Linked DNA regions of Saccharomyces cerevisiae S288C. Changing the gene in region 1 together with any one later gene gives a genetic interaction. Each region holds a gene or a part of one and is shown in the gene's direction. Other genes may lie near its edges.

Evidence for each region.
Region 2: mutations in PSH1 (region 1) and YTA6 together harm fitness more than expected from each alone (negative genetic interaction), as found in Saccharomyces cerevisiae (2 studies listed by BioGRID).
Region 3: of PSH1 (region 1) and MET30, changing one enhances a phenotype caused by changing the other (phenotypic enhancement), as found in Saccharomyces cerevisiae (one study listed by BioGRID).
Region 4: mutations in PSH1 (region 1) and MOT2 are lethal when combined (synthetic lethality), as found in Saccharomyces cerevisiae (one study listed by BioGRID).

What each region holds. Positions count from the first base shown.
Region 1 is NC_001147.6:226,784-234,335, forward strand, and holds PSH1 (ubiquitin-protein ligase PSH1), read left to right. Parts: upstream 1-1,830; coding exon 1,831-3,051; downstream 3,052-7,552. Other genes in the region: AIM39 (Aim39p), read left to right, coding at 3,302-4,489; DDR2 (Ddr2p), read right to left, coding at 4,787-4,972; adenosylmethionine decarboxylase SPE2, read right to left, coding at 5,663-6,853.
Region 2 is NC_001148.4:413,779-421,612, forward strand, and holds YTA6 (putative AAA family ATPase YTA6), read left to right. Parts: upstream 1-1,984; coding exon 1,985-4,249; downstream 4,250-7,834. Other genes in the region: transcription regulator GCR1, read left to right, coding at 1-1,584; putative ubiquitin-specific protease UBP16, read left to right, coding at 4,734-6,233; YPL071C (uncharacterized protein), read right to left, coding at 6,270-6,740; guanine nucleotide exchange factor MUK1, read left to right, coding at 7,170-7,834.
Region 3 is NC_001141.2:263,431-271,866, forward strand, and holds MET30 (ubiquitin-binding SDF ubiquitin ligase complex subunit MET30), read left to right. Parts: upstream 1-5,220; coding exon 5,221-7,143; downstream 7,144-8,436. Other genes in the region: aminophospholipid-translocating P4-type ATPase NEO1, read left to right, coding at 1-1,462; SYG1 (Syg1p), read right to left, coding at 1,685-4,393; YIL046W-A (uncharacterized protein), read left to right, coding at 4,879-5,043; putative protein phosphatase regulator PIG2, read left to right, coding at 7,731-8,436. UniProt on the Saccharomyces cerevisiae protein: Substrate-recognition component of the SCF(Met30) complex, an E3 ubiquitin ligase complex that mediates the ubiquitination and subsequent proteasomal degradation of target proteins. Negatively regulates sulfur amino acids biosynthesis genes expression.
Region 4 is NC_001137.3:288,658-296,870, forward strand, and holds MOT2 (CCR4-NOT core ubiquitin-protein ligase subunit MOT2), read left to right. Parts: upstream 1-4,392; coding exon 4,393-6,156; downstream 6,157-8,213. Other genes in the region: RRT13 (Rrt13p), read left to right, coding at 1,585-2,142; RGI1 (Rgi1p), read left to right, coding at 3,409-3,894; ARG56 (bifunctional acetylglutamate kinase/N-acetyl-gamma-glutamyl-phosphate reductase), read left to right, coding at 6,753-8,213. UniProt on the Saccharomyces cerevisiae protein: E3 ubiquitin-protein ligase component of the CCR4-NOT core complex, which in the nucleus seems to be a general transcription factor, and in the cytoplasm the major mRNA deadenylase involved in mRNA turnover.

The sequences.
Region 1 (7,552 bases):
GAATGAGCAACATGAGATAAAACTCCGCCTCCCGTAGTTGAACCACCCAAACGTATAAATCCCTGAACAATTAGTTTAGATCTGAGATTCCTCGCTTTCATCATTTAGTGTAATTCATATTTTATATGATATATAGAATAAGCAACATCCCATGAATCAAGCTGATAATCCGTTTTGGCAACTGATTACTTCCCAAAGACTCCTTATATTAGGATTGTCTAGACACCCCGGTATTACTCGAGCCCTAATACAACAGTAAAAGTTTGTAAATATATAGAATTAATTGGTCACAATTGTTTGATGCTCCCCTTTCAATTAACGAATATCTATTGACTGGTATTTATATTACTATTATATTATCATATAAGACGTGACAAGATGACATAAAGACTAAGAAACAGTCATTAGATTCATATGAAAGCTAAATGCAAGGATAAATATTGTAATAAGATAATAAGGGCCTGCACATAAAAATGGGAAGAATAAAAAGAATAGTAATAATAATAATGATGATGACGATGATGATGATGATGATGATGATGATGATGATGATTATGATTACAATGTATTTGATAATATACTAGTATCACGAATATTACTAAATGGATGACACTCTAGAGTTTCATCTGAATAATTACCAAATTATTCACCTATCTCTTAGTAGTATACCTATTTTTTCGTTTAATTAGTGTCCTTATTGGCTTTAAAGTAATTAATGCAGATGGTTCATGGCATACAAAAAATACTTTGTTTCGTTTGTTTTTTTTTTCTTTTTGTTATGATTTTATTAGCCTAATAATGTCCTAGAGTTAACAAATGTAAATTGTAAGAGGATACATTACATCTACAAAAATTAAAACCAGTTAACTCTCTATCCTCATCCTTTTAATTTTGTTGAATAAGAGGCAACCATAAAGGTTAAGAAATAGCATCAGATGTAATGGAAGCTGAAAAATGCAATGATTGATTATTCAATAATAGTGAATAACGGCGTGTAAATGAATAAGAAATGGTAATAATAATACTGATGCCTTTTTATGGATTCCTATATCCTTGTGGAAAACCTCTTGAATACTGGGTGAATAATTTGATAATTGTTGTCATTCCATTGTTGGTGAAGGCTATAATATTATGTATACAGATTATAATAGAAATTTTCCTCGAGGATATAGGAATCCTCAAAAAGGAATCTATATTTCTACATACTAATATTACGAATATTCCCAATTCCGTTTTATACATTTCATTATCCTATTACATTATTAGTCCTTGCATTTCGCTTCAATCAATCTAACTGTTTCCCAATCTTTATGTTATCTTCTTACACTGCATGTGATAATATACTAGTAACACGAATACTACTAAAAAGATGATATTTTAAAGTTTCATTCCAACACCTCTAACATGTTCTATATACCTAATATTAAACCTTTATTAATAATGGAATCTCAACAATTGTCTCAAAATTCTCCCATTTCTCACAATCTTGTGCATTGAGAACTGTGCATCATTAAGTTTCTAAAATTTAGATCTTTCATAAAATATTAGACTCCATGGCCAAGTTGGTTAAGGCGTGCGACTGTTAATCGCAAGATCGTGAGTTCAACCCTCACTGGGGTCGTTATTTTTGAATACCCAATACTTTTTTTTCGGGCCATTTCACACAATGGCGTTTTTTATCCTATGTCCACTACAATTTAGATGAGCTCTCTTCTAGCATACAACTGCGATGAGGAATTTGATAATATTCTATTTTAAGCATTAAGTTTTCAGAAAACGAACGATCGCGTTTTTTCTCAGACAGAAAGTTTTAATATATTGATAAGAATAATGGGCGACGAATTACACAACCGTTTACTTCACCAAAACGATGGCACCAAGGACGCCATACTTTATAAGATAATAGAATCGTTAGTTTGCTCCATCTGCCACGATTATATGTTTGTACCGATGATGACACCTTGTGGTCATAATTATTGCTATGGTTGTCTGAACACCTGGTTTGCCAGCAATACTCAAAAAGAATTGGCTTGTCCGCAGTGCAGATCTGATATTACCACCATTCCCGCATTGAATACAACGTTGCAACAGTATCTATCATTCATTTTAGAGAAATTAAGGGACCAGAATGATGAATCTTTTAAAAAACTTTTAACAACTAAAACCAAGGAGGAAAATGATTACAAGAATGACAAGGAAAAGGACACATTGTTTGACAAAGTATTTAAGAATAGCGCATTGGCAGTGGCCGACGACTCGGATGATGGTATCACACGTTGTAGTAATTGTCATTGGGAATTAGACCCAGACGAAGTAGAGGACGGAAATGTTTGTCCCCACTGCAATGCCAGAATACGGAATTACGCAGGTGGTCGCGACGAATTTGATGAAGAAGAATACAGTGAAGGAGAGTTGGATGAAATCCGGGAAAGCATGCGTAGGCGTAGAGAGAATCGATTTGCGTCTACCAATCCGTTTGCTAATAGAGATGATGTAAGTTCTGAAGACGATGATAGCAGTGAAGAGGAGCCCATGCGAGAACATATCCCACTAGGCCGTTGGGCCAGGTCACATAATCGTAGTATTGCTGTGGATGCTGTGGATGATGAAGACGACGAAGAAGAGGATGAGGAAGAAGAAGAGGAGATGGATTCCGATTTGAAAGATTTTATAGAGGATGATGAAGATGACGAAGATGAAGATGGAAGTAGGAGGAATTTGGTATTGTCTGCACTCAAGAACAGACATGTAATTATTACTGATGATGAGGAAGAGGAGCAACGGCGACATGCTACAGAAGAGGAAGATCGCGATAGTGACTTTTACGAGCATAATGATGATGGTTTTGTAAGTGGTGATAGCCTTGATGAGGATCAGAAGGAGGTTACACGGATACAATCGAGTTCTGATTCCGAAGATCGTTCACTTTCGTATTCCGGCTCCAGCGATGTCAAGGATAACAATGACGATAACACGGAAGAATTAGATGACCCACAACCGAAAAGGCAGAAACGCTTCCGTGTAGTTCTAGGAGACAGTGACGATGAATAATCTGAACATTTTAACTAGCGGGAACGGCATATGTACGGAACTTTTATGTATGTTTTTAAAAAATTTCCTTTCTATCCTTATTACATTAAGATTTTTAAGCGATAGTAGGATCGGAAATATAAGCACTCGTTTATGATATAAATAGGTCAAGAATTTCGTAAAGTAAAATCAATACATATGTGAATCTTTTTTTTTTTTTTTTTGGGACTGCTATTGGTATTTTTTTAGCGTCACGTTAATCAGCCCAATTATGTGGGGGTTATGCAAGAAGCATTTTCCGAGCAATAAAATTCAAGTGCAGGAGAGAAACAAAGCATTAAAACCAAAGAAGAGTGGCAGCGAACATAAGACAAAGCAACTGTTTCCTGTATTCAATTGCAAGAAGAAGGAAAAAGGGGTAATGATACGGTTTGCGATTCTACGTAATGCTAACACATCTCTACTGTCCGCGAGAAGTATATGCTTATTTACCCAGGCGCCTACCTATTGTCATGTAAGGTTGAATACCTTGAATAAAAGCATTACAACTAAAAGAAATTCATTGACAGAGTCGAAAAGGCATGTCCATGATGGCAAGCATTTTTTTACGACGCCACATCAACAGCAACAGACGAAGTTGGGGGAAATTGAAGAGGGACACAGTCCTAACATAAAAGGAGAGGACTTGAGAAGCATTGGTCAAGCAATAACACATCAGCGAAACAAGCGCCGAAAGCAAATATGGTCCGCCATATTTGGTGGTATATTCGGTGTGATATTAGGATACTCACTAATCTATAGAGTGATATATTTAAAGGAACAAAGTTTCTTACCATTGTTTCCATCATCCAAGATACGTAAACTGAGTACCAGAGATTTGAAAAAGGTTGACGTAAACCAAGTACAGAAGCTTTCTAAATTAAGGGTTTTAGAGATATTATCCGGTCATGACATGATCAAGGAACAATACGGAGTACCATTGCTTGATAAAGATGGCAATTCACCCACGTTAAATGAATTCAGCATGTGGTGCGAAGATCAAGATCCATGTGTAACTGGTATTGTAATGGAGCCAGACGATAAAAGGGATAGTTCGCACACTTGGTATAGAATACCCTTTGTTTGCAAATGGAGGATAACGCATCGGCCAATAAGTATACGGGGAACCATCGACGATTTACTGAACCGCATTGGTTTGGAAACAGCCGATTTATTTGAGATTATATCGCCGGAGAGGGTATACGGGTCGTTCAAGTACGAATACCCACTGCAGGGGGACTCACATGCATTACACCTTTGGTTTCATGGCGAAATCGAACTGGACGATGATTCTTTGATTGTATATAATGGAAAATACCACGTTGATGTTAAATTGCAAGAAATCGACCTCTTCAGACGTGAAAAGAACGGACAACTAATACAGTACGTTCTATACAAAAACGAAGCGGGCGACAAGTAAGAAAAATGTAAATATTTTTATCACAATTATGATTATTATCGTTATTAAACTACTTATTTTCGGTTACGTAGATGAAATAGTGTTATATAAGAATATTTGAGAAAGTAAAACTGATAAATAAATATAATGGAATGAAAAAATAGAGACGAACTGGAAGAAGAGAAAAAAAATTAAAGCACCAAATTTACTACTCTGGGGCCTATAGATGGAATATCAAAGGGGAAGATGAGAAAAGAAATTATACATTTCAGAAACGTCAATAGGGTATCATCATCGTGGCAGTAAGCGGCGTTTTTCCTAAATCAAAAAGGCCAAAGCACCACCAACAGCAGCACCGACGACTCCGGCGTTTAGTAGTTGACCATTTTGAGCGTGCAAAGCAGGAGCAGCGTTACTCGTGGTGTTGGATGCGTTTTGAGCATTTACGCTAGTAGCGAGGCCGAAGACAGAGATGGCAGAAATGAAAACTTGTGATACTTTCATGTTTAAATCGATATTAAATTAGCGTGCTTGCTTGGAGGGCTTTTCAGAATGAAAAAAAAAAGAATGAAGAAAGAATTAACCAAAGAATGGAGGTTATGTGTAAGAAATGGCATTTATATATACATTTATATAAAAATGTATAAACATACTTGCATTATTGATGTCCCATAAGGGGTGAGAAAAGACAAAAATGGAAACAGGGGAAAAGAAGAAGAGTAAAAAAAGGATTATTTTAGGAGAGAAAGGGGATTAGAAGAACATCGGGCATAAACCTTTGAGCATCATCCTTTATTGATGTTTGACACCTTGCGATTGATGAAAAATATTGATGATATTAAGGTATTTCTGATAGCCACTGCCCCGTCCCTTGAAGCGGCCTTCCGTCGAGGCCTTGGCAACCGTGTCTGGGTGTGTGATATATTACATCAGAGGAAATAAAAGCTTGAGCGGCTAAACTCCCTTAGCTCAGGGGTGGTCTGGCCAGGAATTTTCAGTGGCCATTTTTCCTGTTCCGGGTCCGGCCAATCTGTGCCGGTTTTCTCTAGAGGAAAAAAAAAAGCATGCGGGGTAATGATGTAGAAGATATACAAGCGGGTTAAACTACATTAGTTATGAGTGCTAGAAAGCAAGCGAAGGATAATAGAAGAGGGCTATTCTATGTAAGTATGAGGAGACACAAATGGCGGCTTTTCATATTTTCTTCTGCAATTTCATATAGAAAAGGTGGTAGTCGTCCAGATCATAAACAATTTTGTCTAACTTGATGTAGTCGGGCAGTGACTCGTTGATGCTTAGTAGTTTTTGGAAGGATTGGTTCTGATAATTTTTGGTAAAAAAGGTCATCGAGAACTCTCTTGGTTGAAAAACGTTCAGAATATGTAGAAGAACGTCCAAGTTGTCTTGCTTCCCTTGGGAAATGTCAAATACGGGTATGTTACTTTCGAAAGAGGCGTAAGACCAACCCTTTTCCGGAGTCACGTGCAGGGTGTAATAGTATTTTTCAGCGAGAATCATATTGGATGAGTATCCACATGGCGTGAACGCAAATGCATCGTGGTGAAATGATAAATCGGAGTCTTGGGCCGAGTTGACATATATTTCGTCAAGCCTTGTATTTTTAGTCATTTGGTAGCCGAGGTTGTGGCCCTTATCTTCGTTTGGCTCCACGAGAGCGGTTGTGGATGCCTCAGGCCCGCAAACAAACTTACTAGCGCATTCTGGGTCCAGCTCCGTCATCAGTACTTCGAAAGTTTCGTCGTCATCCTCGATGTACTCCTTTCCCTTAGGTGTGGAGCGGTCCGTCTCGGTGACGTACAGGTTCCAGTGGTTGCTCTTGTCATTTCTTCCCACGGAATAACTTTTACCATTGTCGAAAAATTTGTTCAAATAGTCGACTTCGTCAGCCCAGTTTTGATGGATAGCGGCTTGCTTACAGGGGAAAAGGAAACATCGTCTAGAATAAAACACTTTAAATGGTTTGTACTTGCCCCCTTGTGTTGTGCGGAAAGCCCACGATAACTCTTGCTCAACGATCTGGAAAAGCTTTTCGAGACAGAACAATGTGGTTGTAGTACCGCACGTCTTCATCGTCAATTTGTGATCGAAGACGAAGAGGGAAGACTCACTCAACAAAAAGGCATCCAGTTCTTTAGTCTTCTTCATGGAAAGAACTTCGCATTTCACTAATTTCAAAATCTCGATCCATCTATCCATGCCAATATTTCTTAATGTCTTTTCGGTCGTGATGGACTTCTTGTGAGGGAAGAACCAGATTTCCAGCAACTTCTCGGGACCCTCGAACGCATCCGTTGAGTCTAAAGTGGCTGATAGTTCGTGGTCAATGTAGTTGTGGTTAGTCAATTCTTTTATGGTGACAGTCATTCTATGGTCCGCCTATTTGCGTAAGACACTATATGAAAACCTAAAAAATATAAAAAAGAAGCTACAGTACAGTAATTGATTAACCTGGAAGAAAAAAAAGAAAAAAAGAGTTGATGCAAGGAGCGAGCTGTAGCGAATACAATATATACACGTATAGATATGCAGAGATGCTTTTAGTCGATTAGCAAAGTTTATTCGATGCCTAAATACCGGAGAACCGTGTTTGGAATTTTTTTTCTTCGAGTGGAAAAAAGTGAAAATTTCCAAAGTCAATCATTGTGTACGTACGCTGAAATTGGATGCAGAAGAGGTAAAAGGCGAAGGAAAAGAGGGCGAGGGTAAAAAGCCTGATTGCCAAACCATGGTGCCCAATTTATTGGATATTACTACTGATGGAAGGCTACATATCTCTGGCGCTTTCTATCAGCTGTCATCGATTTGAAATTCTTCTAGCCCTAGGAACGCCATTATGGGGCTTATCCGGGTAGCCAGTTGGCGGTTTTAGTTTTTTCACTTCTTGATTTTTTTCTAGTTCGAAGAATTTTTTCCACTGATGATTGAGCTATAAAAGAGCCTGATTAAGATGAAGAGCTCCGATTCTCTTCGTTAACGGAGCATCAAACATGACGTTAGCGTCAAGTAACCTACGATATTTGTGCAACAGACATGATGGAGTACCCTCATGCTTTGGCGCGTGCG
Region 2 (7,834 bases), on another chromosome or scaffold:
TACTTTATGGAATTATCAAAAAAATTAACTACAGAAAATATCAGGTTAAGTCAAGAAATAACACAACTAAAAGCAGATATGAACTCCGTAGGCAATGTTTGTAACCAAATTTTGCTGTTGCAGAGACAATTGCTTTCAGGAAATCAGGCGATCGGATCAAAGTCCGAAAATATTGTGTCTTCCACAGGTGGGGGGATATTAATACTAGATAAAAATAGCATCAATTCGAACGTACTGAGTAATTTGGTTCAGTCGATAGATCCTAATCACTCCAAGCCCAACGGACAAGCCCAAACACATCAAAGGGGTCCGAAAGGACAATCACATGCACAGGTTCAAAGTACTAATAGCCCTGCGCTAGCGCCAATTAACATGTTCCCGAGCTTAAGTAATTCTATACAGCCGATGCTTGGCACCTTGGCTCCGCAACCGCAAGATATAGTACAGAAGAGGAAGCTACCGTTACCAGGTTCAATAGCCTCTGCAGCAACAGGCAGTCCTTTTTCTCCATCACCCGTTGGTGAGTCTCCCTATAGCAAACGCTTTAAACTAGACGATAAACCAACTCCGTCTCAGACGGCTCTTGATTCCTTACTTACAAAATCCATTTCAAGCCCTAGATTACCCCTTTCGACGTTGGCTAACACAGCTGTCACGGAATCTTTTCGCTCACCTCAGCAGTTTCAGCATTCTCCAGATTTTGTAGTTGGTGGTAGCTCAAGTTCAACAACGGAAAATAACTCTAAGAAGGTAAATGAAGATTCTCCATCATCTTCTTCAAAACTAGCTGAACGACCTCGTCTTCCAAACAACGACTCCACTACTAGCATGCCTGAAAGTCCCACCGAGGTAGCTGGTGATGATGTTGATAGGGAGAAACCGCCAGAGTCAAGTAAGTCGGAGCCCAATGATAACAGCCCAGAATCGAAAGATCCTGAGAAAAATGGTAAAAACAGTAATCCGCTTGGTACGGATGCTGACAAACCAGTACCAATTTCTAATATTCATAATTCTACTGAGGCTGCAAATTCAAGTGGTACAGTGACAAAGACAGCTCCATCATTTCCGCAGAGTTCTTCTAAGTTTGAAATTATAAATAAAAAGGATACGAAGGCGGGGCCAAACGAGGCAATCAAATACAAGCTGTCCAGAGAAAATAAAACAATATGGGACCTATATGCGGAGTGGTATATTGGTCTGAACGGTAAATCTTCAATAAAAAAATTGATTGAAAATTATGGCTGGCGAAGGTGGAAGGTTAGCGAAGATTCACATTTTTTTCCTACTAGAAGAATTATTATGGATTATATTGAAACGGAATGTGATCGTGGCATAAAACTCGGCAGGTTTACTAATCCTCAACAACCGAGGGAGGATATACGGAAGATTTTAGTAGGGGACCTAGAAAAGTTCAGGATAAATAACGGTCTGACTCTGAATTCTCTATCATTGTACTTTAGAAATTTAACGAAAAATAACAAGGAAATTTGTATTTTTGAAAACTTTAAAAATTGGAACGTTAGATCAATGACAGAAGAAGAGAAATTAAAGTATTGCAAAAGGCGACATAATACACCATCTTAAGTTTATTGAGGTTGTCCGCGACAATAGTTCCTTCAACAAAATAACGAAGCGACGATAACGAGAAATGTCATTAGGTTATTACTACCTTTATAGAAAATATATATACTTATTTAATATTTATATAGATTTATGTGTGTACATACCTATGCGGATGTATGCCTATGTGGGAATTCCTAAATGTCTTTCCATCAACGACTAAATATATATTCTCATGACTGACTATATGGGTTACGAAAACTTAATTTTTTTGTCAAAGACCCTGGCGAATTGAGAAAACCCGCTGGATAGATGGGCTATCCGAAATTTTGAAAGATGGAAAAAACATTAATCTCATTAGCAAAAGAGGTAAGACCCTGGGTGAAGAAAAGTCCGAGGAGGGAACACAAAAAAGTCTAGGATAATGGCACATGAAAAGTTTAGTATACCTGAGAACTTCACATTAGCGCAGTCTTTGCAATTGCTTTACTCTGTTGTCAAAAATCAATATAAAAACCTAGCAGACCTAATAATCAATAGCAAAGGTAATAAGGACACAGTAACGTATGGGAAAATCCACAAAAACTTAGACACTTTACTGGTATACGTCAATGAAGGTCTACGAAAAATTGAAAAGACTTATACCTTAAAGAAAGGGTTAGGAAATCTTGTAGTTGATCATCCTGAATTGAGGAGCATCATTGAGGATTTCCAAATTCTTGGCCAGGATATAAGGATCGCACGTCGTAAAGCAGAAACGCTTATGGCCGAAGGAAACGGTAGTCCCTCTTTGTCATCCTCCTCTTCCGTTTTGGGCCTTGGGACAGGAAATGGTTTGCGTTTTCCAAAACTTTGGAGAATGGGTTCCAAAAGAGATAAATTGAAAGAAGCTGACGAAAAGGAGGCTAAAATCAACAAACAGGCTGATAATATCAGACGTGCTAGGAAATTAGAAGAAGAGAAAAAGTTAGGAGCAAAACTTCAGTATGAGAGGGACTTAGAACTTCAAAGGGAAAAATTGATCGAGTTAAAGGTTAAAGAAAAGGTCGAATTTGAAGTGGCCCAAAAGTTGGAGGAGGAGAGAGTTAAGAGAGAGGAAGAAGAACGCAAACATAGAGAACAAGCGGAGAAAAAACGTATATCAACCCTGAAACATGAGAGGAAAACAAATTACAAATCAAGGGCTAGCCTCGACAACTTCTCTTCCAGTAGCAAATCTTCTGGAAAGATTGACAACTCCCTAATTAAAAGAAGATCACTTGACGTTGTACGGACTTCAGGCGAAAGAGTACGAACGCCAGTAAGAAAATCAATGGAGGCAGCAGAAATAGGTATGGCTGCGCAGTTAGCCTGGTCTCAGTATCAAAACGGGGCAAATCATTCAAAAGTGAGTAACAACGGATCGCATTCAAATGAACTTCAGATACGTTATAAGCCAACACCACCTTTGAAAAAAAGGTATGACTACAAAAAGCCAACAGTTAATCGACCGATTATAAAATCACCTACTCTTAACAGGCAAAACAGCAAGTCTTCACGGAATATACCCACAAATAGCAAGCTGAAGGCTAGTAAATCCAATACTAACAAAGTTTCTCGTAGGAATGAGCAAAATTTGGAGCCTAGTTCACCAGTACTCGTTTCAGCGACAGCGGTACCTGCTGAATCCAAACCCATGCGTTCTAAAAGTGGTACACCCGATAAGGAAAGCTCTGCTAGTTCATCCCTCGATTCCAGAAAGGAGGATATATTAAAATCAGTGCAGGGAGTAGATCGAAACGCTTGTGAACAGATACTTAATGAAATTCTTGTTACGGATGAAAAAGTTTATTGGGAGGATATCGCAGGCTTACGGAATGCGAAGAATTCTTTGAAAGAAGCAGTGGTTTACCCATTTCTGCGGCCTGACTTATTCAAAGGGCTAAGAGAACCTGTTAGAGGTATGCTTTTGTTCGGCCCACCAGGTACAGGTAAGACAATGATTGCTAAGGCGGTTGCGACAGAGTCCAATTCCACATTTTTTAGTGTAAGTGCATCTTCTTTGCTATCGAAATACCTCGGTGAATCTGAGAAGCTGGTTAGAGCATTGTTTTACATGGCCAAAAAATTGTCACCCTCAATTATTTTCATAGATGAGATTGACTCTATGTTAACAGCTCGCTCTGATAATGAAAATGAGTCCTCGAGGAGAATTAAAACAGAACTTCTTATTCAGTGGTCCTCCCTATCTAGTGCTACTGCACAATCGGAAGACCGAAATAATACGCTTGACAGCAGAGTACTTGTCTTAGGAGCAACGAATTTGCCATGGGCGATTGATGATGCAGCAAGAAGACGATTTTCACGGAAACTATACATTCCTTTACCAGATTATGAAACTAGACTATATCATTTGAAGAGATTAATGGCCAAGCAGAAAAATAGCCTGCAAGATTTAGACTATGAATTAATAACAGAAATGACCGAGGGGTTTTCTGGTTCTGATCTTACGTCATTAGCCAAAGAAGCGGCAATGGAACCTATTAGAGATTTAGGAGATAAGTTGATGTTTGCGGATTTTGATAAAATCAGAGGAATTGAAATAAAAGATTTTCAGAATGCTCTGTTGACAATAAAAAAGAGCGTGTCGTCAGAATCTCTACAAAAATATGAGGAGTGGTCTAGTAAATTCGGTAGTAATGGTTCCTGAACGAGAGGGAGCGTCTTAATGGCAAAGAAAGGTATGAGAAGGAATTTTCCCCTTTCAACTTCTTGCTTCTGATCTAATTTTATTACCTATGTACTTTCTATGTATTATCAAAGAAAAACTAACTTCGGTTCCCTTATGATTTGATATTTTTCTTTCTTATTTACAATTAGTTTTCTCAGAACGATATTCAATACAGTTCTCCGGATTTTTGCTTACTATATTGGCCCCAAAAAAATGAAATAAAAAAAGAAAACAAAATAATATACTTGGGTGAAATAAAAAAAATAAATCAATAGCACCCAGTTAACCTAGATTCAAAGTTTCTTCTTCAATCTCAATTTATATACACGTTTGAGTTAATGGGAAAGCAAAGTCCAGCTATAAAACACTTGACCGTTAGCGCCATACCCTCCAACAACTAATTGGACCTTCTCCTTCTGCCCAAACAGTATATGCAAGGTACAGCAGTTACTACAAGCACAATATGTCTTGGATAAAAAATGTAACAGAATCTCCGACTTCACTGATTAAAAAAGTTTCATGTGGTTTGATAATTGCTGCTTCTCTATATGCCATTGCACCCAGCCTAAGTGCGCTAGTCTTTGGGGATTCTAAGCAGAGTATTGGGAAGTACACGACAGTGGGCTTAATTAATCGTGGGAATGATTGCTTCATAACATCATCTTTGCAAGGCCTGGCTGGAATACCTCGATTTGTAGAATATTTGAAACGGATAAGAACGGTCCTTCTAGAATTAGAAACTAAGCTGTCAAATAATGCAAAAGGCGACAATCCTACAGTTGATAACACTACAAGGCATAGTCGACTTGAAAACTCGTCTAATTCACTTGCCCCCTTACACGAAAGTCTTACCAGTTTAATTTTGGATTTGATATCTGTAAAAGATCGTAAGACGTCAATTTCTCCGAAAATAGTGATAAACACATTAGAGTCCATCTTTAAATCAAAGATCTCATCCAAACAAAATGATGCACATGAATTTACATTAATATTACTACAAACATTACAGGAAGAACGATCAAAATTGATCGATTACAGTAAACAGATATGTAATTTGAATATACCAAAGTTTCCATTTGAGGGCGAGACTTCCAAGTTTCTAGTATGCCTTAAATGCAAGGGTCTATCAGAACCATCATACAAACAGACTTTCATCCGCGAACTGTCCGTACCACAACAAACATCAGAGAATCTATCCAATATTCTAGCACACGATGAAACAGAAATCATAGACGACTATTCATGCCTGATCTGCCAAATAAGAGCAATCTTAAACCATGAAGAATATAGAAATTTCAAGGACTGTACCCCGGATGAAATTTTAATGTTGGACAGATTGAAAAATTATGCCACTAAAGCCCCAATTAACGAAAATTTACCATTCGAAGTAGAACAGTACGTCAAGCGTTACTCAAAGGGCAATTTGCAGGTATCTAATATAAAGGGAAAGGTCATCAAAAAAGATGTAGTAGTACAACTGCCAGACATATTAATTGTTCACTTATCGAGATCCACATTCAATGGTATTACATATTCTAGAAATCCCTGCAATGTCAAATTTGGAGAAAGAATAACACTTTCTGAATATACATTGGCTGAGAGTGGGACAATAACAGAAAACAGGCAAGTCAAATATAATTTGAAAAGTGTTGTGAAACACACCGGTTCTCATTCGAGTGGACACTATATGTGTTACAGACGCAAGACTGAAATTCGTTTCGGGAAGGAGGATGAATCTTCCTTCAGAAGAGCACCAGTTGTCAACAATGAAGTTAACAAGAATCGCGAGCAAAACGTTGCACATAATGATTACAAAAAAAGCAGATATAAAAAAGTCAAAAACGCCCTGCGGTATCCTTATTGGCAAATATCTGATACCGCCATAAAGGAATCTACCGCTTCAACTGTCTTGAATGAACAGAAATATGCTTATATGCTATACTACGAACGTGTAAATAAATAACCGCCCTGTACATAGGTATATTATAATAATAGTAAGTTACGCATCCATATCCACATCAGTATCCACTGCCATCATTTCAACATCGGTATCAGCCTCTCCATCATAAGTGTATTTCGAAGTCATTTGATTATGGAACCACTTCCACCAGCTTAGATAAGCAATTTCCTTATAATCTACCCATTTTATTATTTGTAGCCTTTTTTCTCTCAAACGTTCCCATATTTTGTCATAAAACAAGTCATTGTCGCCGCGTTTACTTGTGGAACACTTGATGATCTCTTTCAGGACCTTATCATCAATAGCGTCTGTGAATACTATATTGTTATGAATAAGATTGTTATCATCTGCATGTCCGTTCTTGGGCCCTTTATCATTTAAGGATAAATTCTCTAAATCTATAATTAGTCTTTTTCTTTTATAATTATCAATTCCTATTGGGTCTGGAGAATGATTTCTTTTCCTAATGTGGTTGGGATTGCCATTACTTCTTGCAAACCGGGAACTCATGGAATGAAAAAGTCATTTAAACGTGCCACTAGTTTTACTATCTGCTAATCGTTCTAGACGTGTAATATAAATCATATCCGAGCGCCGTTGTTGAATAATTTAATGCCTTCGTATTACATACATTTTGAAATTTGCTTTCGTAAAAGAGCGGTTCCCGGATAAAAAAGTGTGCAAATAACCGAGCCTTATTTGATTTCCAGTAAAGACCCAACCAAACGCATCATTGAAGCAAAAATAGATTAAAACTTACTGTTGTTCGTCTATTGAATTTTGTTCGGATTGGTGTGGTGTTTAATATCTTGGGCAGAAAGAGAATTGGCTTTATAGACACTCATAAAATCATCATTCCCCTTAGAGCAAAAGGTATTTTTAGAAGCCAAGAAGAAGAGCAGATAAAAAAGAAGTACGCCCTCTAACAATAAAAGTCAAATGGCTAGACAATTATTCACTCCTCCGATAACCAATCCAAGGTTTGACCCTAATCAATCCATCAGGGAATCATACAAGAACACAACTGGCGGCATGCAATTTCAACAAAATCTACATGAGGATCAAAATGACAATGAGAGAAGTAGCTGTGATGGTGATGAAAACTCTACAACAGGAGAAAGGCTAGAAAACAATAAGTCTCCTATATTGACAAAACAAGAAATTGACGAAGCGTTGAACACTGTCACCAATTTACCTCCAGAATTATCAAAATTAATTGACATTTTTATTGATGACCTAAAGCAGCCAAAGTACGTACGGCCACTATCAGTACTGCAATTGTCTAGTCTTTTCCAAAGCTTTTACATAAAATTTGATAAAGCATCATTCCAGCACGTCAGTTCAGCGAATAATAATGGCTATTATTTTTCTGGCGGGGGCTCTAGTTCATTCTTGGCTGCCAAAGAAACGTTAAGTAGTGGTCTTAGCGGAATTTTTGGCAGAAGTAGGAGTAGTAGTGGAAATTCACTTATGAGGCCAAGAAGATCTTCATCGCTTTTCAGTAATGAGTCAATATCAAATTCAACTAATGCCACACAAATGTTGTCACCTGAAGAGATAAAAAAGCAATTGAAAATCAACGAATTAAACAACATGAAAATCGA
Region 3 (8,436 bases), on another chromosome or scaffold:
GGCCGATACTGTCATGTCAAAAATTGTGGAAAGCAATGATTGGCTAGAGGAAGAAACAGGTAATATGGCTCGTGAAGGTCTACGTACTTTGGTTATCGGTCGTAAAAAATTAAACAAGAAAATTTACGAGCAATTTCAAAAAGAATACAACGATGCCTCTTTGTCAATGCTAAATCGTGATCAACAGATGAGTCAAGTTATCACCAAGTATTTAGAGCATGATCTTGAATTATTGGGTCTAACTGGTGTAGAAGATAAGTTACAGAAGGATGTGAAGTCCTCTATCGAGTTATTAAGAAACGCAGGTATCAAGATTTGGATGCTGACAGGTGATAAAGTTGAAACTGCTCGTTGTGTTTCCATAAGTGCAAAATTAATATCTCGTGGCCAATATGTTCATACGATAACAAAAGTCACAAGACCGGAAGGTGCATTCAATCAGCTGGAGTATCTAAAAATCAATAGAAATGCTTGTCTTTTAATAGATGGTGAATCCCTGGGAATGTTTTTGAAACATTACGAACAGGAATTTTTTGATGTCGTGGTTCATTTACCCACTGTTATTGCTTGCCGTTGTACACCTCAACAGAAGGCAGACGTTGCTTTGGTAATTCGTAAAATGACGGGCAAAAGGGTATGCTGTATTGGTGATGGAGGTAACGATGTTAGTATGATTCAATGTGCAGATGTTGGCGTAGGGATTGTGGGTAAAGAAGGTAAACAAGCTTCTTTAGCTGCTGATTTTTCTATAACGCAATTTTGTCACCTCACCGAATTACTATTATGGCATGGTAGGAACTCTTACAAAAGATCTGCTAAATTGGCTCAATTTGTCATGCATAGAGGTTTAATCATTGCAATTTGCCAAGCGGTATATTCCATCTGTTCGTTGTTCGAACCTATTGCTCTTTATCAAGGTTGGTTAATGGTCGGTTATGCTACCTGCTATACAATGGCTCCAGTCTTTTCATTAACTCTTGATCACGATATCGAAGAGTCATTGACTAAAATATACCCAGAATTGTACAAAGAATTGACTGAAGGTAAGAGCTTATCATATAAGACGTTCTTTGTTTGGGTTCTATTATCGCTATTCCAAGGTTCTGTAATTCAATTATTTTCTCAGGCCTTTACGAGTTTATTAGATACTGATTTCACAAGGATGGTTGCTATCAGCTTCACTGCTTTGGTTGTAAATGAATTAATAATGGTTGCCTTAGAAATCTACACATGGAATAAAACAATGCTCGTCACTGAAATTGCTACTTTACTATTTTACATTGTATCGGTTCCATTTCTTGGCGATTATTTTGATTTAGGTTATATGACTACCGTAAATTACTATGCTGGACTTTTAGTTATATTACTCATCTCGATCTTTCCTGTCTGGACGGCAAAGGCAATTTATAGAAGGCTACATCCTCCAAGTTATGCAAAAGTGCAAGAGTTTGCCACTCCATAATTCAATTGGTTTGGATTTTTCTTGTTGCTTCAACGGATTATCTTAAAAAAATCTATCATATTTCAAAATATAAATTCTTATTTTTACAAAGAAGATATAGATTATGCATAATATTATTTTGTTACATTTTTTTTCTTTTACTTTTTATTTTCTTTTCTTTGTACTTCCTCAAATAAGCATCTTTAGCAGGTTAACAATAGCAAATATCATGTCCAGCCCAAATCACATAATACTTTCCACTTCACTTTCACTATCTGTTTCGGGAGACCTATCATCCACGGTATTGACAGTTGGTCTTTGGAAATCAGTTGCATGTGCCCAAGGAATGGATCTCGAAATGTTCTCAAACACGGAGGACCTTCTTCTGAAAGTCCCACGGTAAGCGGGCATAGGTTCGGCAAAACTGTGAGGATTATTGTCATGTGAAGGCGTGATAGGTATGTCGTTAAGTGATGAAAAGGCTTTTGAACCCAAATCACTACTATCCATAGAATCATCACCGACCTGCGCAATTGGATAAGGCAGAGGAGCGTCACCGGTAACCCTGAATAGGTGAACATTGGCAACATGTTCATTTTCGACTCTGAAGATGATCCAAACGAATCTTCTTAAAACCTCCAAAAGGGCCAATATAAACGACGTCACAGCACTCTGCTGAATTGTTTGAGGAGCAATTGCGTATACAATCCACTCAAATCTAATGAGGATATCCCAAATCATAGCAAAGTAATAAACTAACTTCCTACTGAATGAATAACTGCCGTTTTCCCAATTTTTTTTACCAGCTAAATACAAGTCGTCTCTTAGCAACCAATTGTAAGAAGTAGTATTGTGAGCAAAGGACCAATCCATAACTAAATCCCAGGCGGAAGTAAGGATCGAATTCAACGTAGCGCACACGATAAAAGGGGTTCTCCTTTGTTCAGAACGGTCTGACAATCTGTAAGCACAAAGTGTGGCATTATACGCTATACCCAAAGTGTATTTCGCCGCGTTCAAAAGATGAGGGAACCAATCACCGGAATCAGCAAATCTTCGTAAACATTGCATGAATCTCCAATAACTTGGTAAACATGATAAAACACCCATTGCTCTGGAATGTGAAGAGCCACATAGATTGTTGGGCGTATGAGAGTAAACACAGAAGAACATGGCAATATCGGCAATAGAATACGTCAACGAACAAATAATATCTCCCAAAAAGAAATCACCAAACTCAACAGGGAAAAAACCAGACATCATCAGTCTAATAAGAGTAACCACCAGCCATTTTCTAGTGTGTACAACTTTGTCCCAATATGGAATTAGACCAGAGGGACATAAAAATAAGAAAGACACAATACCAATATATAAAAAGCCTAAGGGTGTGAGCTTCTCCAAAGCGAAACTTAACATGGAACAGACCGCACAAGGTACTATGAAGAATGTCAAGAAATACAACTTGAGCGGAATTTTACTCGTGGCAAAATCATTGTTGAAAAATTGCGTACCATTCTTGGATTGAATCTCACCCAGCATAATAAATCTATAATTAATCCCGGTTCTATGCCAGATAAAACAATTAACAAGAAAGAGAAACGCGATCAACAAAACCATGTACCAACCACCCCACAGTGGGAACAGAATCTTGTGCGTAAATGACGTTTCTTCAGAGCTAATGCCCAAATACAAAGTGTAAGTGATCAAAGTCATTGACACACCTATGCCCAGCCCGACAACCAGCATCTGCACAATCGATCTGTTGTTTCTATGAACCATTTGTTCGGAGATAGAGTACTGAATGGTCAATTTCTTCAACTTATGGGTATTGTGCTTCCTGTCCTTAGGCGAATTGGTCAACGCAGTGGTGAACCACTCGGTGATCTGCGTTTCCAACCAAGTGATGGGCTCTTTGTCTCTTTGGGCGGAAGAGAGCTCCGAAGTGGGTGTTGGTTGCGAACTGGTTATTTGTTGCATCTTCTGTGCCACCAACTGCACGTTGGCATCCGCGTGCTTGAAAAGGGTGTAGTGGGTCCTGGCGTACGACATGAACGTGGTCAGCTCTCTTGTGTGACACGTTTTGTCGAATTTCTTGACCATTTTACGGAACCCGGTGACGTTGATATCCCGGAACGATTTGACCAATTGCAAGTACAGATAGTACTCGATTATAGCGTTGCTTAACAAGTTTCTAGCCTGGGTTGTCGTCATAGTCTCCAGAAAAGAAGCGCCAAAAGCAAACGTCTCGCGGCCTCTTGAGGACGCATCCTGTCTCAAGTCCTGTAGCAGAGAAAATCCACGTTTGGGCCACGATGGCAGCAGCCTATTGTCCTTAAGAACTTTCTGACAGTACGCTAGCAGCGACAAACGCGGCTTCTTGGCCTCTTTGGTGCAGGGCATTGACCCATACATAACAGACCGGCTATCGCTGTCGATGCTATTGACCCTGGAGTCAGAACGACCAGCAAGCCCTGCCGCATATAGACTCGTGGACATGTCAACATTCGAACTAGACCGGTTCAAGTTGTCGCGCTCATAATTCTTCTGCAGCGAGTAATAGTGCAGTTGCGACTGTAAAACCTCAAACTTCTTGTCGCACTCCTTTAGCAACCAAAGGTAAAACTCGTTACACTTACTCAACTGGAACGAGATCAACCAGTCTTCAATGAAGTCAGCAACGAACTCCCTCTGCAAAGCAGAATAGTCCTTCTTGAACGCAGGTCCGGAGCGATAGTCTCCGTCGCTGCGACTTTTGCCGGGCTCTCTCTGCTGAAATGCAGTCTGGTATACCGACACAGAGGGCATCCAGCTCCGGTAGGAGCTGGATTGCTCTTCTTCGGCATCCAGCTTCTCCTTGTAGCGGCGAAGCTTCTTCTTGCCGACCTTATAATCAATATATTTGTCCCTCCATTCCGGGATGGCAGACTCGGTTAGATGGTCAGCAAACTTCATCTGATACGGTGCTATGGTAAAGCCCTTCCATTGCTGCCAACTGAATTAAAAAAAAAAAAAAAATAACTACCAACCATCAAATCAAACAAAACAAAACAAAAAAGCAAAGGAGAAAACCCATCTTGTACATGTACAGTCCCAAACTGTTGCGAAACCGTGCGATGATGTTCATGGAACTTGCGTCAAATAAAACCGCATCCCGTCCCACGTGACAAACGGCACCCAAAATCCGTTCTAGAAATGCCTCACACCCACACCGATGATGGGCTTCCGACTCGATGACTACCAACACATAGCCAGCCGCAGCGGCTGGCAGCATGTGCATGATAATGATAAGTGATGATGAATGATGGTGATAACGATTTTGAACAAATGGCTGCAGCGATAGCAACTAAGGGGATGGAAAGACAGATCTGGGAGAGATAACTGCAGGGTGTGGCACGGCAACACAAGGCTATTGTATTGCACTAAACGGGCAAGAAGCCATGATGTGCGTCTGTATCCCAAAAAAAAAACTAATGGATTGGCGCGTGTACTATATATATTCATATGTCGTGTGTTTGTATATGTGTGGGAGTGATTGTGCGTGTATATGTGTGTTGGCGTGTGTGGTACAATGTGTGTGTTTTAATGTAGAAATGAGGTTGTAGCACGTGATCGGGAAGCCACAGTTTGCGCGGAGATATTTTATTTTTTTTCATCAGCGTAAGAAGAAAGCAACCTTGCAGTCTGTATCGTAAGAGAAGACTGCAGTTAAAGAAGTTTAGAGAAGAGGCTTGAGTATCGGTAAAGGGGTGTGTGTTTGGTGATTTATAAAGGAGAAGGGCATGAGGAGAGAGAGGCAAAGGATGATGAGTTTCGAGGACAAGGACAAGGACGACCTTGACAATAGTAATAGTAATAACAGCAGTGAAATGACAGATACGGCGATGATGCCACCATTAAAGAGATTGCTTATTACGGGCAGTAGCGATGATTTGGCACAAGGATCATCGGGTAAGAAGAAGATGACGATGGCGACGAGGTCGCCATCGTCATCACCCGATTTGGCGACAAACGACAGCGGCACTAGGGTACAGCCATTGCCAGAATATAACTTCACCAAGTTCTGCTATCGGCATAACCCGGACATTCAGTTCTCACCAACTCATACAGCGTGCTACAAGCAGGATTTGAAACGAACGCAAGAGATTAATGCTAATATCGCGAAGCTACCCCTGCAGGAGCAATCCGACATCCACCACATTATCTCGAAGTACAGCAATTCCAATGACAAGATACGGAAGCTGATTCTGGATGGGATCCTATCGACGAGTTGCTTCCCACAGCTTTCCTACATTTCGTCACTCGTTACACACATGATCAAGATCGACTTCATCAGCATTCTGCCGCAGGAGCTGTCGCTGAAGATCTTGAGTTATCTGGATTGCCAATCTCTTTGCAACGCCACGAGAGTGTGCCGCAAGTGGCAGAAGCTCGCGGATGACGACAGGGTATGGTACCACATGTGCGAGCAGCACATAGACAGGAAATGTCCCAACTGTGGCTGGGGGCTGCCTCTTTTGCACATGAAACGTGCGCGGATACAACAGAATAGTACAGGATCTAGCAGCAACGCAGATATCCAGACGCAAACTACGCGACCTTGGAAAGTCATCTACAGAGAACGGTTCAAAGTGGAGTCAAACTGGAGAAAGGGCCACTGCAGGATTCAGGAATTCAAGGGCCACATGGATGGTGTGTTAACGCTCCAGTTTAACTACAGGCTTTTGTTCACAGGCTCGTACGACTCCACCATAGGTATATGGGACTTATTCACGGGGAAGCTAATACGAAGGCTCAGCGGCCATTCGGACGGCGTCAAGACATTATATTTTGACGATAGAAAGCTGATTACGGGCTCGCTCGACAAGACGATCCGTGTTTGGAACTACATAACCGGTGAATGCATTTCCACGTATCGAGGCCACTCGGATAGCGTTCTGAGCGTAGATTCATACCAGAAGGTTATCGTTTCCGGCAGTGCTGACAAGACGGTCAAGGTATGGCACGTGGAGTCCAGGACATGCTACACCTTGAGAGGCCACACGGAATGGGTTAATTGCGTCAAATTGCATCCGAAAAGCTTTTCATGTTTTAGTTGCAGTGACGATACCACAATCCGAATGTGGGATATCAGGACCAATTCATGCCTAAAAGTGTTCAGGGGTCATGTAGGGCAGGTGCAAAAGATCATACCGCTTACCATTAAGGATGTAGAGAATCTAGCCACCGACAACACTTCTGATGGCAGCTCTCCGCAGGATGACCCAACAATGACTGATGGTGCAGACGAATCAGACACACCGTCGAACGAGCAAGAAACTGTCTTAGATGAAAACATACCTTATCCAACACATCTACTATCTTGCGGACTGGATAACACAATCAAACTATGGGACGTCAAAACCGGTAAATGCATAAGAACACAGTTTGGGCACGTGGAAGGTGTTTGGGACATCGCCGCTGACAACTTCAGAATTATAAGTGGTTCTCACGACGGAAGCATTAAGGTCTGGGACTTGCAAAGCGGGAAGTGTATGCACACGTTCAACGGTCGAAGACTACAAAGAGAAACTCAGCACACACAAACACAATCCTTGGGTGATAAAGTCGCCCCTATCGCTTGTGTTTGTATTGGAGATTCAGAATGCTTTAGTGGTGATGAATTTGGGTGCGTAAAAATGTACAAATTCGATCTCAATGATTAGGACCTGTGTGTGGTCTTTTCTTGGTCAAAAACATCCGTAGTACCTCGAATATATATGCTTACATATATAATGAAAAATACATAATAGCATTTTACATTTATTTTATTTCCAGGAAAAAAATAAATCGCTAGCGTATCACTAGCCTTTTCCATCTTCAGTTTTTTTCCTTCCTCTTTTTCGTCTCGATAAAACTCTTGACCATTAGATGCTATTACTCCCCCACGGAGCCCTTCCCACGCTAAGGGGGATGTCAAGGGGGGGACTGAAGATAAAGCTTATTATATTGACGGCGATGATGAAGAGGGCGTACGCATAAAATGTCGTACAAGATCCATAATCTGCAATATTGTTCCCTCAACAGTACTAATAAATCCAAAGGGCGAAGGTACTTTATTATATAAACGCGCACGGCCATTGTATATAAAGGCGATTACATAATAGAATACTTATCGATTCCGTAATCCTTGAAATATAGAATATACATAAAATAGACAAGAACCCAACAGTTGAGGCGCCAGCTTTGGTAATAGCTTAATAATAAATAAAAAAAGATAATATAGCTAGCTAGTATTATTGCTTTTATCCGTATGGCCACCACCACGCAACCACAAAATATACTGATGGATGAACCTTTAAATCTTCCTAATAACAGTGCCCACAACAATAACTATGGAAACATAAATGCGAATATAAGAACTTTTGCTGGTATGAGCATGCACATGCACCCTGCCAGGCTGAACTCTCTGGAGTTTTTGCACAAGCCCAGGAGACTATCTAATGTAAAACTGCACAGATTACCTCAGGACGAGCTTCAAAGAAATACGGACATGAATAAGGGAATGTATTTTAATGGGAAACAAGTTCATGCCCATCACCCGTTTATAAATTCTGGAGCGAACTTTAACGCACATCATCAAGACGTCAGTAAATTAGGCGAGGAGGAAGACGAAATCTCTCCTCTATCACATGATAATTTCCAGTATGAATCCGAGGAAAATGGTAATCCTTCACCTCCCATTTACAAGAAATCTGGAGAACTGGTTAAGAGTTCATTAAAAAGAAGATCCAAGTCCCTACCCATTACTCCCAAATCTATATTCAACAAAACTGGCTCTAAGAGTAAACATGTCAATTTAGATCATGTAGATACTAGGCTATTGCAAAGAAGTAAAAGTGTCCATTTCGATCGTGTTTTACCAATAAAGCTGTTCAATGAAAATGAGAAACCCATAGATGTTGGCAAACAAATGGTTCAACAAGATGTTCTGAATTTCAAGCATAAGCCTTTGACGA
Region 4 (8,213 bases), on another chromosome or scaffold:
CTGTATGCGTAATATTATAGCCTTTTCCAACAGTGCACCCAAATATAATCACAAATCACCCAATTCTCAAATTCACTTGTTAAAATGAAAATACCAAAGCCTCATCATACCGTTCTATTGTCCATCTCCAACACAAAAGTACCATAATAATTTTCCGATTCGACACGAATACAGATAGATGGGCACATGGCAAACTTAGCTCAGTATGGGCTTGTAGGTTGTAAACGAGTCAGAAATTTCAACAATAAAAAATACATCAGATAGTGTTTCGATGTTCTTAATTACACGTGAATTATCAAAAACCATCAACATACCAGCCAACATCAGTGTAGGTGGAATAAAACTTTCTTACCATGTACAGTAAATGGACCATGACGCCGTGCACAAGCTTATGCATAATGAGCTAAGCGGGAAGACATTTTCAAACTACGTGATAGTTCCGACTGCCCTTTCAATTGCTAATGTAGCAATATGTTAGGAATGCAATATTCCAAAATGCTGTCTGTGTCAGTGAGAATAACAAAAACATTGAATAAACTTTTCTATGGTAATAACCACGCCAGATAAGGGCGTTGCCATCGTTTTCATTTTTTTTTTTTTTTCAAATGGTGGGGTCACCGTTGTGAAAAGAAACCTTTGATTCTCAACCATATCGGTACTCGGACTAATCACTTAAATCTTTCCAAGGGATTATCGAGAATGTCATAGTGCAAAATAATCTTAGCTTTCAATAATTTTTTCATTTGGAGTCACACTCCCGTTAAAACCTAGTCAACGGCTTCCACTTAAAGCTATCAACAAGGGGCAATTGATTTTGCATTTTCGTCTAAATGAAAGTTGCAGCCAGCAATTTACCCGAAGTTTAAATAAATCAATGCAAACCATGTTCAACTTAAACAGCAATCGCTTTCTATTACCTTGGAATTATATCAGAACGTCTATCTGCGAAGCTTTAATAAAGTACTGGAAGTTGTGTCTGAAATGTCTGTTTTGGTAAATTTGTTTGATCCTGATTATACACCTCAAAGGACCACGTTAAGTGGCCATATGACGAGTGTTATTGCGTGCTTGCAAGTTGAAGATAATTATGTCATTACAGGAGGATGTGATAAAACGATCAGAGTTTATAACTTAGTAAATAAAAGATTTCTTTTACAACTATCAGGTCATGATGGTGAGGTTTGGGCATTGAAGTATGCCCATGGCGGTATTTTAGTCAGCGGTTCTACAGGCAGAACGGTGCGAGTTTGAGATATTAAGAAAGGTTGTTGTACCCATGTGTTTAAAGGTCATAACTCTACGGTGAGGTGCCTAGATATAGTAGAATATAAAAATATCAAGTACATTGTTACTGGTTCGAGAGATAACACTTTGCACGTTTGGAAATTGCCCAAGGAGTCCTCCGTTCCTGATCATGGGGAAGAACATGATTATCCATTAGTCTTTCATACCCCTGAGGAGAACCCATATTTTGTTGGTGTTTTAAGAGGACATACGGCGACTGTAAGAACTGTCTCAGGCCACGGTAATATTGCCATTAGTGGCTCCTATGATAATACATTGATTGTGTGGGATGTTGCGCAAATGAAATGTCTATATATCTTGAGTGGACATACGGATCGTATTTATTCGACAATCTACGATCATGAAAGAAAAAGGTGCATCTCTGCCAGTATGGATACCACTATTAGAATTTGGGATTTGGAAAATATAAGGAATAATGGAGAATGTTCCTACGCAACAAATTCAGCATCGCCATGCGCCAAAATACTTGGTGCTATGTACACTTTGCGGGGTCACAGAGCCCTAGTCGGTTTATTGGGATTATCCGATAAATTTTTAGTCAGTGCTTCTGTAGACGGTTCAATAAGGTGTTGGGACGCTAACACTTACTTTCTGAAGCACTTTTTCGATCACACGCAGTTGAATACAATCACCGCATTGCACGTTTCTGATGAGGTATTAGTGAGTGGATCTGAAGGTTTGCTCAATATTTATGATTTAAATAGTGGGCTGTTAGTCCGTTCAGATACATTGAGTGGTGCTGATAATGTTTGGAACGTTAGTTTTAAGGACAACACACTTGTGGCAGCGGTAGAACGAGACAAGCGAAATCTTTTAGAAATTTTGGACTTTAGTTGAAGATTGATGTGAGAATGATGCAGAACTTACCTTGTCACGTTTGGAACTCAGTTGTACTTTTTCGGTGTAAACAAATATAAAACTTTAGAATTTACATTAATAAGTTATGTGCTATTTATTAGTTTAATATATCAACATTAATTACATGCGAGCTATGTATTATTAGCTCAATCAGCAGGACTAAAATCGAGGAAAAAGTAATTTTGTTTATGCCCAGTTCAGTTATCGTCCATTTGTAGCAAATGTGGTACAAGTTGACCCATATTTTCATGCATTGGGCCATGCAGTAATTATCACACTCACTTTGTCATAATGTATACAATGGCCGCTTATTTGCGACTCGTCTCATATTTTTCCTGAAACTGTAGCTGTGTGTAATATTATTCATTAACTTCGATAATTCGGCTACAGAAGACAAGAGCTACATCCTTACTGGTGCGAATAAATGACATAATCTGTCAAGAGTACCGAAGTAAAAGCAACGATTGCCGAACACATCTTCCTGAAGTATCATATGCCAATACAAGGTTTCAATAGGAATTATGAAAGCGGCATTATCACCCTTAATCTGAAATATGTAATGATGACGGTGCAGTATGTTGACTACATTGTAAAGTTGCACTTTCACTCAACTCATGAAATTGATGACATTAATCCTACGTGACTTACACATATGCCATGAACGAAGAAGGTGGCACCAAAAATCCAGCGTTTCCGATATACACGCAGTCAAATGTTCAGACTAAACTTTGGTATTCTGACAACGTGTTGTCATACCTGTTACGAGCCAGAAACGTATTTCTTTTTGGGTGATACAATCTCCAGATGACTGCTTTTTTTTTTTTTACCCCAGATTCAGGGGCCGAAGGAACGGAAATGCGGTGTGGCGAGATTGCGGATGTGCTAAAAAATAATATCCTCGAGGCAACCAGCATAATGTGGACGGCTCTCGGCAATTGACTTCCATAACAAATGCATCCTGTAATCAGGGGTATTATAAGTTACTGTATGGTTAATTAAATATAGAATGAAAGGGGCAGCGTTCTTAAGGGGTATTGCTGGGTGGAAAAATACAAGTGTCTTTACTTGATTGTGTGCACATATATAAGGCAAAAGATTTCTAGCGTATATTTGAATCTTTTGTTCTTCCACGTTCAAATTTCTTTGGTCAAAACATTTCATAAAGGGACAAGTTCTGCATTGTATTCTAATAATTGCCCATAGAACATATAAATTAGGTATCGACTGTTTTCGTCTCCACTTTAAATGACAAAGAAGGATAAGAAGGAAGTAAAAGTTCAAACGGTTACCACGGAGGATGGTGAAACCGTGAAAGTTTTTGAAGACCTGCAGGGTTTTGAAACTTTCATTGCCAATGAAACTGAAGATGATGATTTCGATCATTTGCACTGTAAATTAAATTACTACCCACCATTTGTGCTACACGAGTCGCACGAGGACCCTGAAAAAATTAGTGATGCTGCAAATTCTCATTCTAAGAAGTTCGTGCGTCACCTGCACCAGCATATTGAAAAGCATCTTTTGAAAGATATTAAGCAAGCCGTTAGGAAACCTGAGCTTAAATTTCACGAAAAATCGAAGGAAGAGACATTTGATAAAATCACCTGGCATTACGGTGAGGAAACTGAATACCATGGTAGACCTTTCAAGATAGACGTTCAAGTAGTTTGCACACATGAAGATGCTATGGTATTTGTCGATTACAAAACACATCCTGTAGGCGCAAATTAAAGGTTGTGTCATAGAGAATGTGTTAGTACTGAATCCTAACCTCCCAAATTCATAAGTAGTTTTATGTACCTTTAATGATTTACGATTAGCAACTTTTTGAATTTTTTTTATTGAAATGTTGAGCCCGAAGACGTGAAACGCTATAAAGTAGTATCACTGTTACGCCGCGAAACCTGATAATGTATTGTTAAACTACTACCTGGTCGATGATTATATCGACGCTTCTAAAATGAATGCTATTACCCGAACTTCCACTTGATTGCCGTCTCTTCCCGGGTAACATTGTAAGTGTGAATATGATTTTTTTTTTTGCTTTCTCTTTTCAAAATTTCCGAAAAGCATATCAAGACGTGTACTACATACAGTAAAAGCCCTCCTAGGGTTTTCAGTAGTGGTTCGAATAGTATAGATTACTGCTTTTGTTACTCTGCAACAATCCCAAAACTTAATAAAAAGTACAAAAGACCAAATAAAAGTATCGTATATAATCCAGTCATAATGATGAATCCACACGTTCAAGAAAATTTGCAAGCAATCCACAACGCCTTAAGCAATTTTGATACGTCATTTTTATCGGAGGATGAAGAAGATTATTGCCCTCTTTGTATTGAACCAATGGATATTACTGATAAAAATTTTTTTCCTTGTCCCTGTGGTTATCAAATTTGTCAATTTTGCTACAATAATATCAGACAAAATCCAGAATTAAATGGCCGTTGCCCAGCATGTCGTCGTAAATATGATGACGAGAACGTCAGATACGTCACATTATCTCCGGAGGAGTTAAAAATGGAGAGAGCCAAGCTCGCTAGGAAGGAGAAAGAAAGAAAGCATAGAGAAAAAGAACGTAAAGAGAATGAATATACGAATAGGAAACATTTATCTGGTACCAGAGTTATCCAAAAGAATTTAGTGTACGTTGTTGGCATCAATCCTCCTGTTCCATACGAGGAAGTTGCGCCCACTCTGAAATCTGAAAAATATTTTGGCCAATATGGTAAGATAAATAAGATTGTGGTTAATAGAAAAACACCCCATTCTAACAACACAACCAGCGAGCATTATCACCATCATTCACCAGGATATGGCGTTTACATAACCTTCGGATCCAAGGACGATGCTGCAAGATGTATAGCTCAGGTAGACGGGACGTATATGGATGGCCGCCTGATCAAAGCTGCCTACGGTACTACTAAATACTGTTCTTCTTATTTAAGAGGATTGCCATGCCCAAATCCCAACTGTATGTTTTTGCATGAACCTGGTGAAGAAGCTGATTCTTTTAATAAAAGAGAACTCCACAATAAACAACAAGCGCAACAGCAAAGTGGCGGAACTGCATTCACTAGATCTGGAATACACAACAATATATCTACCAGTACCGCTGGTTCAAATACCAATTTACTAAGTGAAAATTTCACAGGCACACCTTCACCGGCGGCGATGAGGGCTCAGTTACATCATGACAGCCATACAAACGCTGGAACACCGGTATTAACACCTGCTCCGGTCCCTGCAGGGTCAAATCCTTGGGGAGTTACTCAATCAGCAACACCTGTAACCTCTATCAATCTCTCTAAAAACAGCAGCTCCATAAACTTGCCAACATTAAATGATTCTCTGGGCCATCATACTACCCCCACAACAGAGAATACCATCACAAGTACGACAACTACTACCAATACCAATGCTACAAGTCACTCCCATGGTAGCAAGAAGAAGCAATCTCTTGCTGCAGAGGAATACAAAGATCCTTATGACGCACTAGGGAATGCTGTTGACTTTTTGGATGCAAGACTACATTCTCTATCAAATTATCAGAAGCGCCCTATATCTATCAAATCCAATATTATTGACGAAGAAACTTATAAAAAGTATCCGTCTTTGTTTTCTTGGGACAAGATTGAGGCCTCAAAGAAAAGTGACAATACATTAGCCAACAAACTTGTGGAGATCCTGGCTATAAAGCCAATAGACTACACTGCTTCTGTCGTTCAATTCTTGCAGAGTGTCAATGTTGGTGTAAATGACAATATTACAATCACAGATAATACGAAAACTCCCACCCAACCAATAAGACTGCAAACCGTCTCACAGCAAATCCAACCACCATTAAACGTCAGTACCCCTCCACCGGGTATCTTTGGTCCACAACATAAGGTTCCTATTCAGCAGCAACAAATGGGTGATACAAGCTCAAGAAATTCCTCTGATTTACTAAATCAACTAATCAACGGAAGGAAAATTATCGCCGGTAATTAATCCGACTCTAAATATTTTTCTTGTTTGCATTAACCATAATTTTATCTATTTTTATTTCTCATGAATATATAATCTCTCCGTTTATAACGAAATGCAAGAAAAAAAAATCTCACCCATTTTTTTAAACCTTTGACGTGGAAAGGTATCTGGGAAAGGTATCTGGCTAATGAATAATGCCATAGCATATACCAGTATAGTCTATTTACTCGTTACAACGTATGAAAGCGTCAGCGCTGCAAGAATGACTAATTCATAGAAAATAATCATCATGATATATATCATAATGCACGGAACCTGCTTCGCTAATTTTTTCACTTAAATCACATTTTTTCAACGAAATCTCTTGCGCAGTTGGTTGGAATTCTTATCCGAATGACTCAGTCTACATCAAAAAACTGTGGCCGAATGGTGGTAATTGATGACTCTTCTATTTTTTTTTTTCATATAAAGAGCTTGCGCGCGTGTTGTTGTTCGCTATCCATTTCCATTAGGAACATTTTTGGATATTATTTTTCAGACCCGTAATATACTTAACACATATACCACTAAAGGCAAAAGAAAGAGAGATCTGAAGTGAGAAATAAGTCTGCATCATTATGCCATCTGCTAGCTTACTCGTCTCGACAAAGAGACTTAACGCTTCCAAATTCCAAAAATTTGTGTCTTCATTAAACAAATCCACCATAGCAGGATTTGCATCTGTACCCTTGAGAGCTCCACCATCCGTTGCATTTACGAGAAAGAAAGTCGGATACTCAAAGAGGTATGTTTCATCTACTAACGGCTTTTCAGCTACTAGATCCACTGTGATCCAACTGTTGAACAATATCAGCACAAAAAGAGAGGTTGAACAATATTTGAAATATTTCACTTCCGTCTCACAACAACAATTTGCTGTGATCAAGGTGGGTGGTGCCATTATCAGCGACAATCTACACGAACTCGCTTCCTGCTTGGCATTTTTGTATCATGTTGGTCTATATCCAATAGTTTTACATGGTACCGGTCCTCAGGTTAATGGAAGGCTAGAAGCGCAGGGAATTGAGCCAGACTATATTGATGGTATTAGAATCACGGATGAGCACACAATGGCCGTAGTTAGAAAATGTTTTTTGGAACAAAATCTTAAGCTAGTTACTGCATTAGAACAGCTAGGGGTCCGTGCAAGACCCATTACTTCTGGTGTTTTTACTGCTGACTATTTGGATAAGGACAAATACAAGCTAGTGGGCAATATTAAAAGTGTCACAAAAGAGCCAATTGAAGCATCTATTAAGGCAGGTGCCCTACCAATCTTGACCTCTTTAGCCGAAACTGCTTCTGGTCAAATGTTGAACGTCAACGCCGACGTAGCTGCTGGTGAATTAGCCCGTGTTTTTGAGCCTTTGAAGATCGTTTACCTGAATGAGAAAGGGGGTATTATCAATGGCTCCACGGGAGAAAAAATTTCGATGATCAATTTGGATGAAGAGTATGACGATTTAATGAAGCAAAGTTGGGTGAAGTATGGTACCAAATTAAAAATTAGAGAAATTAAAGAGCTTTTGGACTATCTTCCTCGTTCTTCTTCAGTTGCAATCATTAACGTTCAAGATCTACAAAAAGAACTGTTCACTGATTCTGGTGCGGGTACTATGATCAGGAGAGGTTACAAATTAGTGAAGAGATCCTCCATTGGCGAATTTCCATCCGCTGATGCTCTAAGAAAAGCTCTTCAAAGGGACGCTGGCATTAGTTCCGGTAAAGAATCTGTTGCTTCTTATTTAAGATATTTGGAAAACTCTGATTTTGTCTCTTATGCTGATGAACCTCTTGAAGCAGTGGCCATTGTAAAGAAAGATACGAACGTTCCCACACTAGACAAATTTGTCTGTTCTGACGCAGCCTGGTTGAATAACGTCACAGATAATGTATTCAATGTTTTGCGCCGTGATTTTCCTGCTTTACAATGGGTAGTCAGTGAAAATGATGCTAACATTGCATGGCATTTTGATAAGTCTCAAGGTTCATATCTAAAAGGCGGAAAAGTTTTGTTCTGGTATGGTATCGATGATATA